Linked DNA regions of Neodiprion lecontei. The protein of the gene in region 1 interacts with the protein of each later gene in a pairwise test. Links are inferred from orthologs where the notes say so. Each region holds a gene or a part of one and is shown in the gene's direction. Other genes may lie near its edges.

The links.
Region 2: the proteins of membrane-associated guanylate kinase, WW and PDZ domain-containing protein 2 (region 1) and protein hu-li tai shao interact in a two-hybrid assay, tested with the Caenorhabditis elegans proteins (2 studies listed by BioGRID). The link is inferred for Neodiprion lecontei from reciprocal best matches to the Caenorhabditis elegans genes magi-1 and add-1.
Region 3: the proteins of membrane-associated guanylate kinase, WW and PDZ domain-containing protein 2 (region 1) and 43 kDa receptor-associated protein of the synapse homolog interact in a two-hybrid assay, tested with the Caenorhabditis elegans proteins (2 studies listed by BioGRID). The link is inferred for Neodiprion lecontei from reciprocal best matches to the Caenorhabditis elegans genes magi-1 and rpy-1.

Annotation. Positions count from the first base shown.
Region 1 is NC_060264.1:36,470,703-36,474,459, reverse strand, and holds the start of membrane-associated guanylate kinase, WW and PDZ domain-containing protein 2, read left to right. Parts: upstream 1-842; 5' UTR 843-1,812; coding exon 1,813-1,882; intron 1,883-3,093; coding exon 3,094-3,313; intron 3,314-3,413; coding exon 3,414-3,757.
Region 2 is NC_060263.1:22,533,665-22,537,421, reverse strand, and holds the start of protein hu-li tai shao, read left to right. Parts: upstream 1-915; 5' UTR 916-930; coding exon 931-1,035; intron 1,036-1,915; coding exon 1,916-2,053; intron 2,054-2,341; coding exon 2,342-2,531; intron 2,532-3,333; coding exon 3,334-3,716; intron 3,717-3,757. UniProt on the Caenorhabditis elegans protein: Membrane-cytoskeleton-associated protein that promotes the assembly of the spectrin-actin network. Plays a role in time-dependent memmory loss and the retention of conditioned behavior over time.
Region 3 is NC_060263.1:35,028,282-35,032,038, forward strand, and holds the start of 43 kDa receptor-associated protein of the synapse homolog, read left to right. Parts: upstream 1-1,126; 5' UTR 1,127-3,086; coding exon 3,087-3,124; intron 3,125-3,757.

The DNA of each region.
Region 1 (3,757 bases):
ACGACAGCAATCGCTGACGCTACTTGAAGCGTGCTCTAATATTACAAGGGCTTGTTTACGTTGGGGTACTACGAGATTGCAGCGCTCTAACTTTGCGGCCAATTTCCAGAACTTTTGAGCTTCAACAAGAAACCCATCCCCACCTATACACTTAAAGGATAGACAATAGACTGAGCACTATGAGCACTCCTCCCATAATGGGCACTGAAGCCGTTGCTGGGGCCGGATTCCGAACATCAAGCGAGTTCGAATTAGTTCTACGGTTTTCCGCTCTCCATACTATTATTATAGTCGATGGTTAATGAACATCACGGTCGGTACAGAGCTTATCGATGTTAAATATTATTACGAAGTGGCACATGCTGTTGATAGAGGGCGATAGCTAAGAAAGGAGAGAAAAATAGATGTTCAGAACTAAAAACCGTAGAACTCACTAACTCGAACTCGCTTGATGTTCGGAATCCGGCCCCTGAAGCTAACATATACAGCAAAGAGATATGTCGGGAGTACTCCTTTCTCTTTTCTATCGGCCCCATGGCGGGGGACAAGGGAACAGTTAAAAGTAGAAGAGTCATAGATATAGGCCAGTGGCGAAGCTGCGGTATAAACATTTTTTATCCTGCAGACTAAATTTACATGGTAAGATCCATTAGCAGGTTGTTGACTGTAGAGCACTGCCGTCACCGCCGTGCCCTCTTCCTTGCTTTAAAATGATAACCGTTGCTAACCTGTCTAGCAATCTTCCAGTCAACGCCCTACATTTTCTTGGGACTTCAGCGCCACCTATAGGAACTACCGGTTACTTAACGAGTATTTTCGGACAACAGGTTCGTTGTCCGTGCTTCTCTCTTCAAATGAGTTTGCTTTTCATGTTTTTACCTCAAATCCCGATATCTCTGGAACAAGTGCTGTTTATATGCGATGAGTACTAAACCGTGTCTACTCTAGCTCGGTTCTAAGATTTCGGTGTGATTCATTTTGGAAATATTTGTTCCTTCGTTGTTCAGCAAACCAGTAGGGATATTATTGCATTGTGGAAGGGGAGACCGATAGGGAGTAGCCATACTGTAGAAATCAACAAATCTCTTTTATTGGGCAAGTGGGACACAAGAACCACCACAACAGCAGCAGCAGCAGCAGCAGCAGCAACAACAGCAGGAACAACACAACAACAACAACAACAACACAAATGAGATTGTCGATCACATATTTGGAAACAAGCATACAAGCATTTGTTCTGAATAATCAATTTCGCGGAGGTAGATTTAAGCTTAGTAAATTTGGCTTGATTTATTTGACACTTGTATGTTATTTGTCAGAATCTCAATAGTCGTTCGCCTCGCAATTTCCTCACTACCATCTCCACGTCTGTGTAAATTTCACGAACGATAGCTTGAAATAAGTCCATTCAATTTGTGCGGAAAAATTTTCAATTATTTCGTCTTAGTTTTCATTTGACAAATAATTATCAATGCCTGCAGAGTTTTGTACTTACAATCGAAATGTTAGTCTTGCTTTAATTTGTTTCCACAATTGTACATACGAATTCAACCGAGCTGTGAAAGACTTCAATCCGGGTCTGCAAGCATTTTCTTTTTATTGTGCAAAAATGCATTTGAAATAGATATATCGTAACGGAAATCCTATGACAATGAAAGAAATACGGCGATGCTGATTTTTATGAGCAAGGATCTGGCTGATTCATCAAGAACAACGAATATGGCCAAGAGATGTCAGGGAGCTACCAGTTTTGGCTGATAACACTCAGTACCTAAAAAACATCAGAAAGGCATAATTGCTACTCGCTATCATATGCTAGGTAGAAAACACGAGATGGCTGCCCAAAGCAACACAGCTCTTTCCAACGATGGTTTTGACTGCGGTAAAAATAATCCAACTATTATTTACTGACTTACTAACTCCTTTATAGACTTTGGTAGTCCATGTTGACAAATCAGTATCATTCACAAAAATTGCAATTTTAATTTATTCGTCAAAATTCAAAGTAATACAATGTAAACACTCTGAATCTCACAGAGATGAAACACCGTCTGTACATGGGTATGAACTAGAAATAATACAATTATACATACGTACATACACACGCGTACATACATATAGGCATATGAAAAATACATTCAATAATATTTTTATAGACAAATAGAACAAAGACGAAGAACATGCCAATGAATACCTATTTTAAAAACAATGATAGAGAGAGCATAGTTCATTACCCTTGGTTCTCAATAGCAAAAGTAGTAGTAAATAATAACAATAATAACAATAATCATATCAAATGATTTCGGATAGCCCATATAATCAAGCTATGAAAGCATGCACTCTTCATTTAGCCATTTCATAATCATTCTTTTTGCAGTACATGTCTTAATTTTTAGAGTTTTTAGATTATTAGATGACAAGCTGAAATATTCAGCAACCATATATTTCGGGTTGTTTTTGTAGATTGTTCTCGTAACTTGTCGAACTGGCGCAAGTTGCTTCCTTGCACCTGATTGAAAACTGATGCGAGGTAGATCTCTTCCACATTCTTGTATTTAAAAATAATATTTTTGAAATATAAAAATTACAGGGATTAAGCAAGGTTTGAAGTAGATAATTTTGAGTAACTTTTTTATCATTCTTTGTTGGAGATTAACTAATGGAGCCATAGTGTTTTCATAAGCCCCTCCCCCAAACGATTAAACCATAGTTTGTGATACTGTTAAAAAGTATATGATAAATAGCGTATAAAACAAATGGAGCTGCACGTCTCAGTTTGCTAAAACGCATAAAAAATACCTAGTGTTTTTTCGAATACATTATTCTTATGCGCATCCCATCTAATATTAAAATTGAAAATGATCCGTAAGTGGTTAAATTTTTCAACTCTTTATATTATATCACCTGAAATGCGTATGTTTATCTCATTTGGTGAGTTATTCTTGTAACAGCCACAAAGATGATGCATTCTGTCTTAGAGCTGTTCAACGATACTTTATTTTGGCAAAATCGTTTAATAACATTTCTGTAATTAGTGAGTCTTTTCTGGATTTTCAATTTCAAATTATTATAGTTTGTGTTCTCTACCAATAGGCAGTTGTAGCGACAAAGAAGTTCAAAAAATTGGGAATGCAAATGGTTCGATTCATCTGGTACCTCCAAGTTATCTCTATAATACAGGATCTGGCCAGACTACAAGGGATCTAGACCAAGAGCATAGCAACCAAGATCGTGCATCTGAGGATGAATTAGGACCCCTTCCATCCAATTGGGAGAAAGCCTACACTGACACTGGAGAAGTGTATTTTATCGAGTAAGTAATACTGAAAGTTGTGAGAAATTTTGTAAAAATATATTGCATATGGTTTTCTCAAATAGGATGCTAGTCAACTTATTACCGTATATTATTCAAGTCATAACAGCGGCACGTCGCACTGGCTTGATCCAAGGTTGTCCAAATTTCAAAAACGTTCCCTAGAAGAATGTTTAGATGACGAGCTACCTTATGGGTGGGAAAAAATAGATGATACTTTGTACGGAACCTACTTTATCGACCATGTGAATCGGCGAACCCAATACGAGAACCCAGTACTCCAAGCCAAACGGGCTCAGCAGGGCGTGACAGACTGTAAAAGTTCAGTATTCACTAGAAACCCTGATAAATTAAAGGGGCTAAGAATACGTAGTACGCTGCTGAAAGGTACCAGAGGACTGGGTTTCACTATTGTCGGTGGAGATGACACTATTGAAGAATTCC
Region 2 (3,757 bases), on another chromosome or scaffold:
GCTAATTTTCAATCATTTTGAGGTTGTGACACGTTACTCATGTATGAATTTTTCCGGAAACGGATTGAAATGTGGCCATTTTTGAACACGCTAATATTTTTATTTCGGCAGCTGAAGTCTAATTTTAGCTTTACCTTATTTCTACCGACCGACGAATCAGTCTACGTTAATTTTCTCAGTGATAAACCGGCACGGGATATCAGTTAAACAATTTCTAACTAACGTCACGTGTCTTTGCCGATGATAACATTCAGTTTATAAAGTGATGTAAGCTACTAACGGGAGACGCAACGTCTGCGATCGTATTATATAATACTGTTTATATACATGCATAGATGTAACGACACATTAAAACTCTGGTACAGTGAGCAAAGAAGAACCTATTGTTGAGCTTATACTTGGCCTAATATAATAGGAATTTTTAATGGCGCGTGTAAAAAGCACCTGTTCATCGCTTCGTTCCTTCATATTATCGTCGTCTTTCCTGCGGGCTGCAGGTGTTTTACGTATAAAATATAATCAGCGATTATTTGTAATATTAAAATTGAAATAAAGAGATGAGGATCTTCGTGAACTGTTTGTGACTTGAGATGTCGCCCTTGTACACGTCGCGGTGGTTATAAAATGATTAACTACCCGTAAATTGCACTGCCTTTGATGCTAGATAAACGAGGTTGACTCGCAATCAACTCTCTTCCGGTTTTCATTAACGCTTTCAATATCTACGTACTCGAATATTCTTCTAGGAACGATGTTTGTGTCCGCGAAATTTGTCGTTGTAAAGATCATTCCACCTATCGACTAACTAACTCCATTTGTGCATGAAATTATCTGTTATCTCATGTTAAATGGGCAAAGAGAAAAAAAGTAATGACCAGCCAGTGCACTCGTATATACATAATTAAATGTGAATTATTTTAACTGTGCGTCATGCTGCATCTCACTGTCGGTGTAAATATAGTTCATCAAGCACTCATAAACACTGTAATAAAGCATGCCGATTTTATGGAGGATTATCCGGATGAAGGCTCGTTGGTGAGTGTTCGTATGCTCGGAAAATATCGCCTACAGAAAATTACATGTGCCTGTAATTGCGCCACCAATCAACATATTGACAAGATCTGTGAAGTACAGGCTATTGACTATTTCGCATTAATGGGATATTATTGTTAATTGAGCTATACAATGACATGGAAACTCCTATTTGTTTGTTAAGATTTTTCGGATGTAAGTTTTTGAACGCTGTTGAATCTGAAAATTTTAATATGTACGGAACGTACAATATTATTCGCAAAGAGTGTTTATGTTCAGATATTTAATAACTGTGTATGAGGATGTTTATCTGTGGAAAAAAAAACTGTTTTTTAAATGACGAGCGAGAAATTTTGAATACTAACTAATATTGGAAAAAACCTAAGAATTAAAATCTCAAAACAAAAAACCATTTTAGCGACGGCCATTAGTAGTGATTTTTTTTGTACAGTACACACCTATGCATTCTACATGATTAAATTTTTAATACTTTATACCTACATGTCGTTTAGGTTGGCAAGTATTTGAAAATTAGTTTTCATTCGATGAATATTTGTTTAAATGTACACGTTCCTGTAAAACCAGGCATACAACTTGTGACCGTATCATGATAATTAATAATCGTGTAGCATTATAATCAGTAGCAACTCGACTAACGTCAGAATGTATGCACGTGTAAACAATTCTAAAATTAAAATCAAGGTCAAGTGGAACAGTTGAATTATAATTTTCGAACGTTTCAAACAATCTCATCTTTCGATTATTATCTAATATTAATATAGTTTTTTATTTTTCTTTTTTGGTTGGCAAGTTTTTGCTTCCTAAATTATCGTATCTTATATACATCAAAAAATTAAATTTTGCATTGTTTTTTTTATTGCAGGAGTGGGTGTTAGCTGGGGGTGGTGCGAGGATGGCGGACACGAGTCAGCAGGAGCTCTCGGAGCCGCACACTAATGGGGCAGTAGATGGCCTCACCGAAGAAGAAAAAAGCAAAATGCGGCCTGCGGATATAGATGCTGTAAGTTTCCCCTTTTAATCATGGAAATTCCTGCGTTCTTTTGAAATTTATCTATCGCTCTGTTCGTTGCCACATAATTGAACTCAACTTTAGAACAAAATTTAAGAATTGATTGACAAATGAAAATTGATTTCCATCTACATAAGTAATAAAATAGTATTAGAAATATATTGTCCTTTTGAATTAGCTCATTGCTAACAAAGGTGAAGTAGCAGATGATGAAAAAAATTTCATTTTAACGTGATTGAGAATTGAAGATAATTTCACTTGAATTTGTTCGATTCCTAGGATATGCGTGAAATGGAGAGAAGGAAGAGGGTCGAGATGATGATGAACTCTAGACTCTTCCGAGAAGAATTGGAGCGAATTATTGAAACACAGATGAAAGACGGGGGGGCGGGACCTTCCGGACTCCTTCAACAAATATCTGATATGATGGGGGCACAAGGTGCTCGCTTCAACTCAAATGTGTTCAAAAGTTAGTATTCTACTAATTCAGTTGCTTGAAAAAACCATATTATGTTGTGGAAAAAATCTTTTTTCCATTTTTTACGTTCATGTTAATTATATTCCAACTTACTGCAAGGAATTCTAATTAGAACCGTCGAGAATAAAGTTAACTGACATACTTGGAAATTCTATATGCAATAGTCAGTTTCATCTCAGGAAGTCTTAATTGTACTATTCAAACAGACATTGAAATCAGAAATCGGTTATTCTGGAAATTCCAATTGTGTCATATCGTTGTAGGCATTGGACGTTTGCATTATTATTATTATTATTATTGTTGTGTTGTTGTTGTTGTTGTTATTATTATTATTTCTTTTTTTCTAAACTGAATCAAAATGAACATCTCAAGTCTTGGCCATTTTGTTCGTAAGGCGAGTCATTTTAAAGAAAAACATTTGACAAGTTGTTAATTGTAAAAGGAACAACTATGCTTTGAGGTATAGTTGTGCAATGAAAATGTGACTAAATAGAAAAATTTGCGTTCAATCTGAGTAGAAATTTAGAACTCATTAGACTTGAACTAAAATTACTCATATGTCCTGTCATTTGTGAAAACAAATTTCGTGCATTACTTCGCATTCGTCACAATCTTCTTATTTATATTTCACAATTGTCAAAATCTTTCAATTTTTAACAGCATAAAAATGTTTTTAAAGATTGCAATAATGAGTATCAAAGAAATGAATACTTGGATATACTTGGAAATACGTAGATTTTTACAACTAATAGAAATATAAAGTTATAAATCATTTTCATGATATCTGCTAAAGGTTCAAACTGTGTGGTGCCTATAAATGACATTCGAGGAGTCGAGAGTATGGGATATGCTAAAGGTGAAAAACTGCTACGATGCAAGCTAGCTGCTGTGTTCAGATTGCTTGATCTCTACGGATGGACGCAGGGTGTCGGAGGCCACATTACAGCACGTCTGAATCAAGATCAGGAACACTTTTTGGTCAATCCTTATGGTCTTCTCTATCACGAAGTCACTGCGTCTAGTTTGGTCAAAGTAGATATGCAGGGATCTGTTGTTGAGCAGGGAACGACCAACTTTGGTGTACATATTACCGGATTTCAGTTACATTCAACAATACACGCTGCTAGACCCGACATCAAATGCATTATCCACATCACCACTCCGTCCGTTATAGCTGTGAGTAGAATTTCGTCTGTTTTTTGTATTCCGCTCTTGGT
Region 3 (3,757 bases), on another chromosome or scaffold:
CACGTCGTACCTCAAAGGCCGTAAATACATCTATAAATAACGCGTTGTCGTTGGATATTCAAAACGAAGATGGTCCTGAGAGCTTCAGAACGTACTCCTTTCATCTGGGAAGATGGCTTTTTTTTATCGTCGTTCGAAAAGTCGATCGGTCTTCGTTTTAGGCTGTTGTTTCCATACAGTTTCATCAGAGTTAACGAGCTCCCCTCGACCGGCACCTGGGCGAGACAAGTTTTCGGCAAAATACGAGACTCGACTTAAACAGATCACCCATCATCTCAAGTTGAATGGCGGTTGAAGGAGACGCGTCGTTAAGACGCGTTCGAAGAACAATGCGTGCAAGTGCGTTTAAGTCCCTCGTCGTTAAAGCTCCATGTAGGAAGATACGAGCTAGTACCTCAGAACCCAGAAAAATCGATCAACTCATTTGCATTCAATCTTGTTCGAGTTTATCAACGTGGCTTGCAGAAGCCGTCCGAAGTTAAGCGAAGTTCCGTCCGCAGCCACAGCCGCAAACACTCAAACAGTCAGTCACTGCAGAGTTTCTGCTCTAGTCATTAACGGGAAGATTGCGGATTGTGGTAGAAAGAAATTTACGAGCCCCAGATGTGGAGGACATGACAAAAGTACGACAAGAATCTACGAGTTTCCATGAAAATTGCATAATTCCATGCGTCCGACAACCAAATGATCGTGCAGCTTGTCATCGATAATTCCTGACAAATTTCAGTCCCTCGCTTGCGCGCTTCTCGTAATCGATTGACTGAGATCCCGATCACTTTCGGTAAGGAATGCCGGGGTGATTTCACCGTTCCACATCAGTCTTGGACCGTTAAGTGAGGCTGGACGTCGAATGAGGGTTGATTTCACCGTGACCATGCACTCTCCCAGGAGTATGGTAGGCATGTACCTACCTACCATGATTAAAGCAAGTCTTCAATAGAAGTCGGTGGGTGTATCGTATAGTCGGCGAGATGTAAGTGAGAAAGGGTACGGCAGCGGTGGAGAAGTGCGAGGATGGAATGGCGTGAGGCGGTGAAGGGGATGAAAAGGAGGGGGGTAGGGGGTGGAGGGTCGTGTGTTGCGGGCTGCTGCGGCTCGGGCGCGACAGTTCGGCTCCAACCACGGCCGGCAGAGCTTCGCCGCAGCCTCGTTGTTCGACAGGGCCTGACCGTCGCCTATCGGCGAACCTCTAACCTTCACTGGACCCGGGGTCGGAGTGTCGACGTCCGAACTTTGTAACATACTTTGTATAAAGTAGGCGCGGAATCGGAGGCCTTCGGTCCGCTCGGAGATCGTGTGAACGTGTGAACCGACTTTAATCCGTTACCGCAAGGATCTCTCGCTACTCCGATTCGAAGGATTAAATTTTAACGCGTGAACCGCCTAATGTTTCGCCTAATCAACTACAGCGAAATTTGGTTATCAGTATTTGTATAAAAGTGTTGGCCAATCTTGAGCGATCTGGCAATAACTACGCTGCATGCTCCAAGAGACGACGTTCCAGGATAGAACCACCTTGCAGACCACTGACTCTCTGTACCCTTCGTACACCGATTACAGTCAAAGCTTTTCGCTATCTACGAAACGAATTCGTACTTCTGAGACTCTGAAAGTGTTCCAGTGGGAAGGACAGGGTTCAAAAGGAGGATCCTGTTCGAACTGCGATGTATTTACGTAATCGTGGAAAACACCCACAGGATTAAAAGTGCTAATAAGCGTGCCACTTTTGTTATTCGTTGTACTACTTTTTTTTCTCTAAAAGTCGGACTACGTTCAATGGAAAAATTTTCACCCATCTAAGGATATTACGTACAGTGTGCAAGGATAAAACGTGAATCGTGATGTAATTGGAGGATGGGTGACTGTCGCTCTTGAAATACTTCTTTACCCTTCCGTAAACTCTTTTCGCATCTTAAGTTTTCAGTCTCCATCTTCATCTCGGTTTCACTCAGACGACTACCTAGCGTTCTCTTTCGCTCGGATTTTTTTATAACGCAGCCTGATTCGCGGGGAGAAATTAAACGGCCGAGTGGACAAGCTCCAAACAATTTACTTTTCTCCTGGTCGAGAAATTTTTCCGGAGATTGATCGGTGCGATCTTCTCCCGGGCTCCGAAGCGTAACAAACAACTGCCCGAACCCTCTCTAATCAGCGGAGCAAAGGTCGAGCGATTAAACTCATTTCCGATAATTGCTACTGCCCTGAACTATATGCAAACTCTAGTCTATTGACAGATCTGTCGAGTTACCACCGCCTCGTAATCTTGATCAGAACCACGCAATAGCTTAGCGGGTATGAAACTTGGAAGGTAAGCTCAAAAACCTCGGTGCCAGTTTTGGCTGTCATTCAGCCACGAATATACGCGTGTCGATGATAAACGTGCGGAAAACGAGTCGAGGCCGTCAGTCTTGTACTTCTGTATCCAGCAGAAGACCAGCGAACAATAGGTACACCAGAGAACAATACGGTACAAAATTCGTGGCTCAGAGTATCGTGCAAAAATAAAAACCGAGCAGTGGATTAATGAGCCATTCGCCGCAGTCTGCACGAGTTCCTCTCTCTGGAGCTGCGCTAAATTTTGAAAAAAAGATCAACTGAATGGACAAAGAACGGCACTGGGAAAGTCAGTTAAGCAGTAGCTGCGCCAATAATCGGGTCACAATCTGGTGACACAACAGAACGGAACACTTAGCCACTATCGGTTCACCTTCGAGCTGCGATTCGGGAGAGTCCGGGACCTTCAAGGCCTGAAGAGCTGTGCTGAGAGGCCGGAAAACCCCGTAAGAACCACCGAATCGGCACCATAGATGTCAAGAAACCCGAATCCTCGCGGCCCCGGTGAGTTTTCGCTGGTCGTTTAATCGCCGAGTGTCCGTTACGAGGAAAGGGAAGCCTTTGCCGGTTCCCGGTCCTCGCGATCGAGAAACGCCGCAGGAGTGTGACTTCGCCGAGGTGTTATGTATTGCCTGAGTGCGGCCTGCAGGTGCGGTGCTGGGGATAATGGCGGTGGAGAAAGATGAGACTGGCAGTGGGGGTCGTCAGAGAGGGACGAAGAGGAAAGGGACGGGGGCGAGAGAGGCACCGCCATGTCATGGGAGTCCATCGCGTCCAGGGAGTACCTCAGGTGAGCCAGACGATCCCGCCACTCGTTTCCCTCAAATCCACTCCAAAGTGCCGCGACCCTTATATCCATGACCGAAGAAGAACAGAGTGGCGGAATATAAAATGAAATAATGTCTTTCAGGGTCGCGGAGGGTTGTTGATTTTCAAGGGTAACGGATGGGAAATGTTCCGGTGCTTCGGTCATGTCGCGATTGATTGTTCGTTGGAATATTACTGGTGTAAAGATGTAGAAATACCTCCAGAGAAACATTTTACAAACGAAGCATAACTTTCGCAAAAATTTACGTTACGAAACACGTTGTTGCGTACGTGTTCGAACTTGGTTGTACGTAGGTAATGGAAAGAGCCTATCTCTACGAATCATTCAGGGAATTAAGCTAATCCCATTGGACGTGTGCGGTGCTTTAAATTGTTAATTATCAAGGCGGAACAGCTTCCAAAATTGTGGAAAAGCCGGACGATCAAAGCCGGCGTAATTAAACTTGTCGAGAGATTTGGGGCACCTCCAGTAGCTGAACATTGAATCGCCCCATTTCAGTGACCGAATAGTGCACAATCCCGCTCGCGTTGACGCCGCTGTTGTGCGTCGAGCTTTAGAGGACGTACGTCGGTGTGTCAGTGTAATCAGACGAAG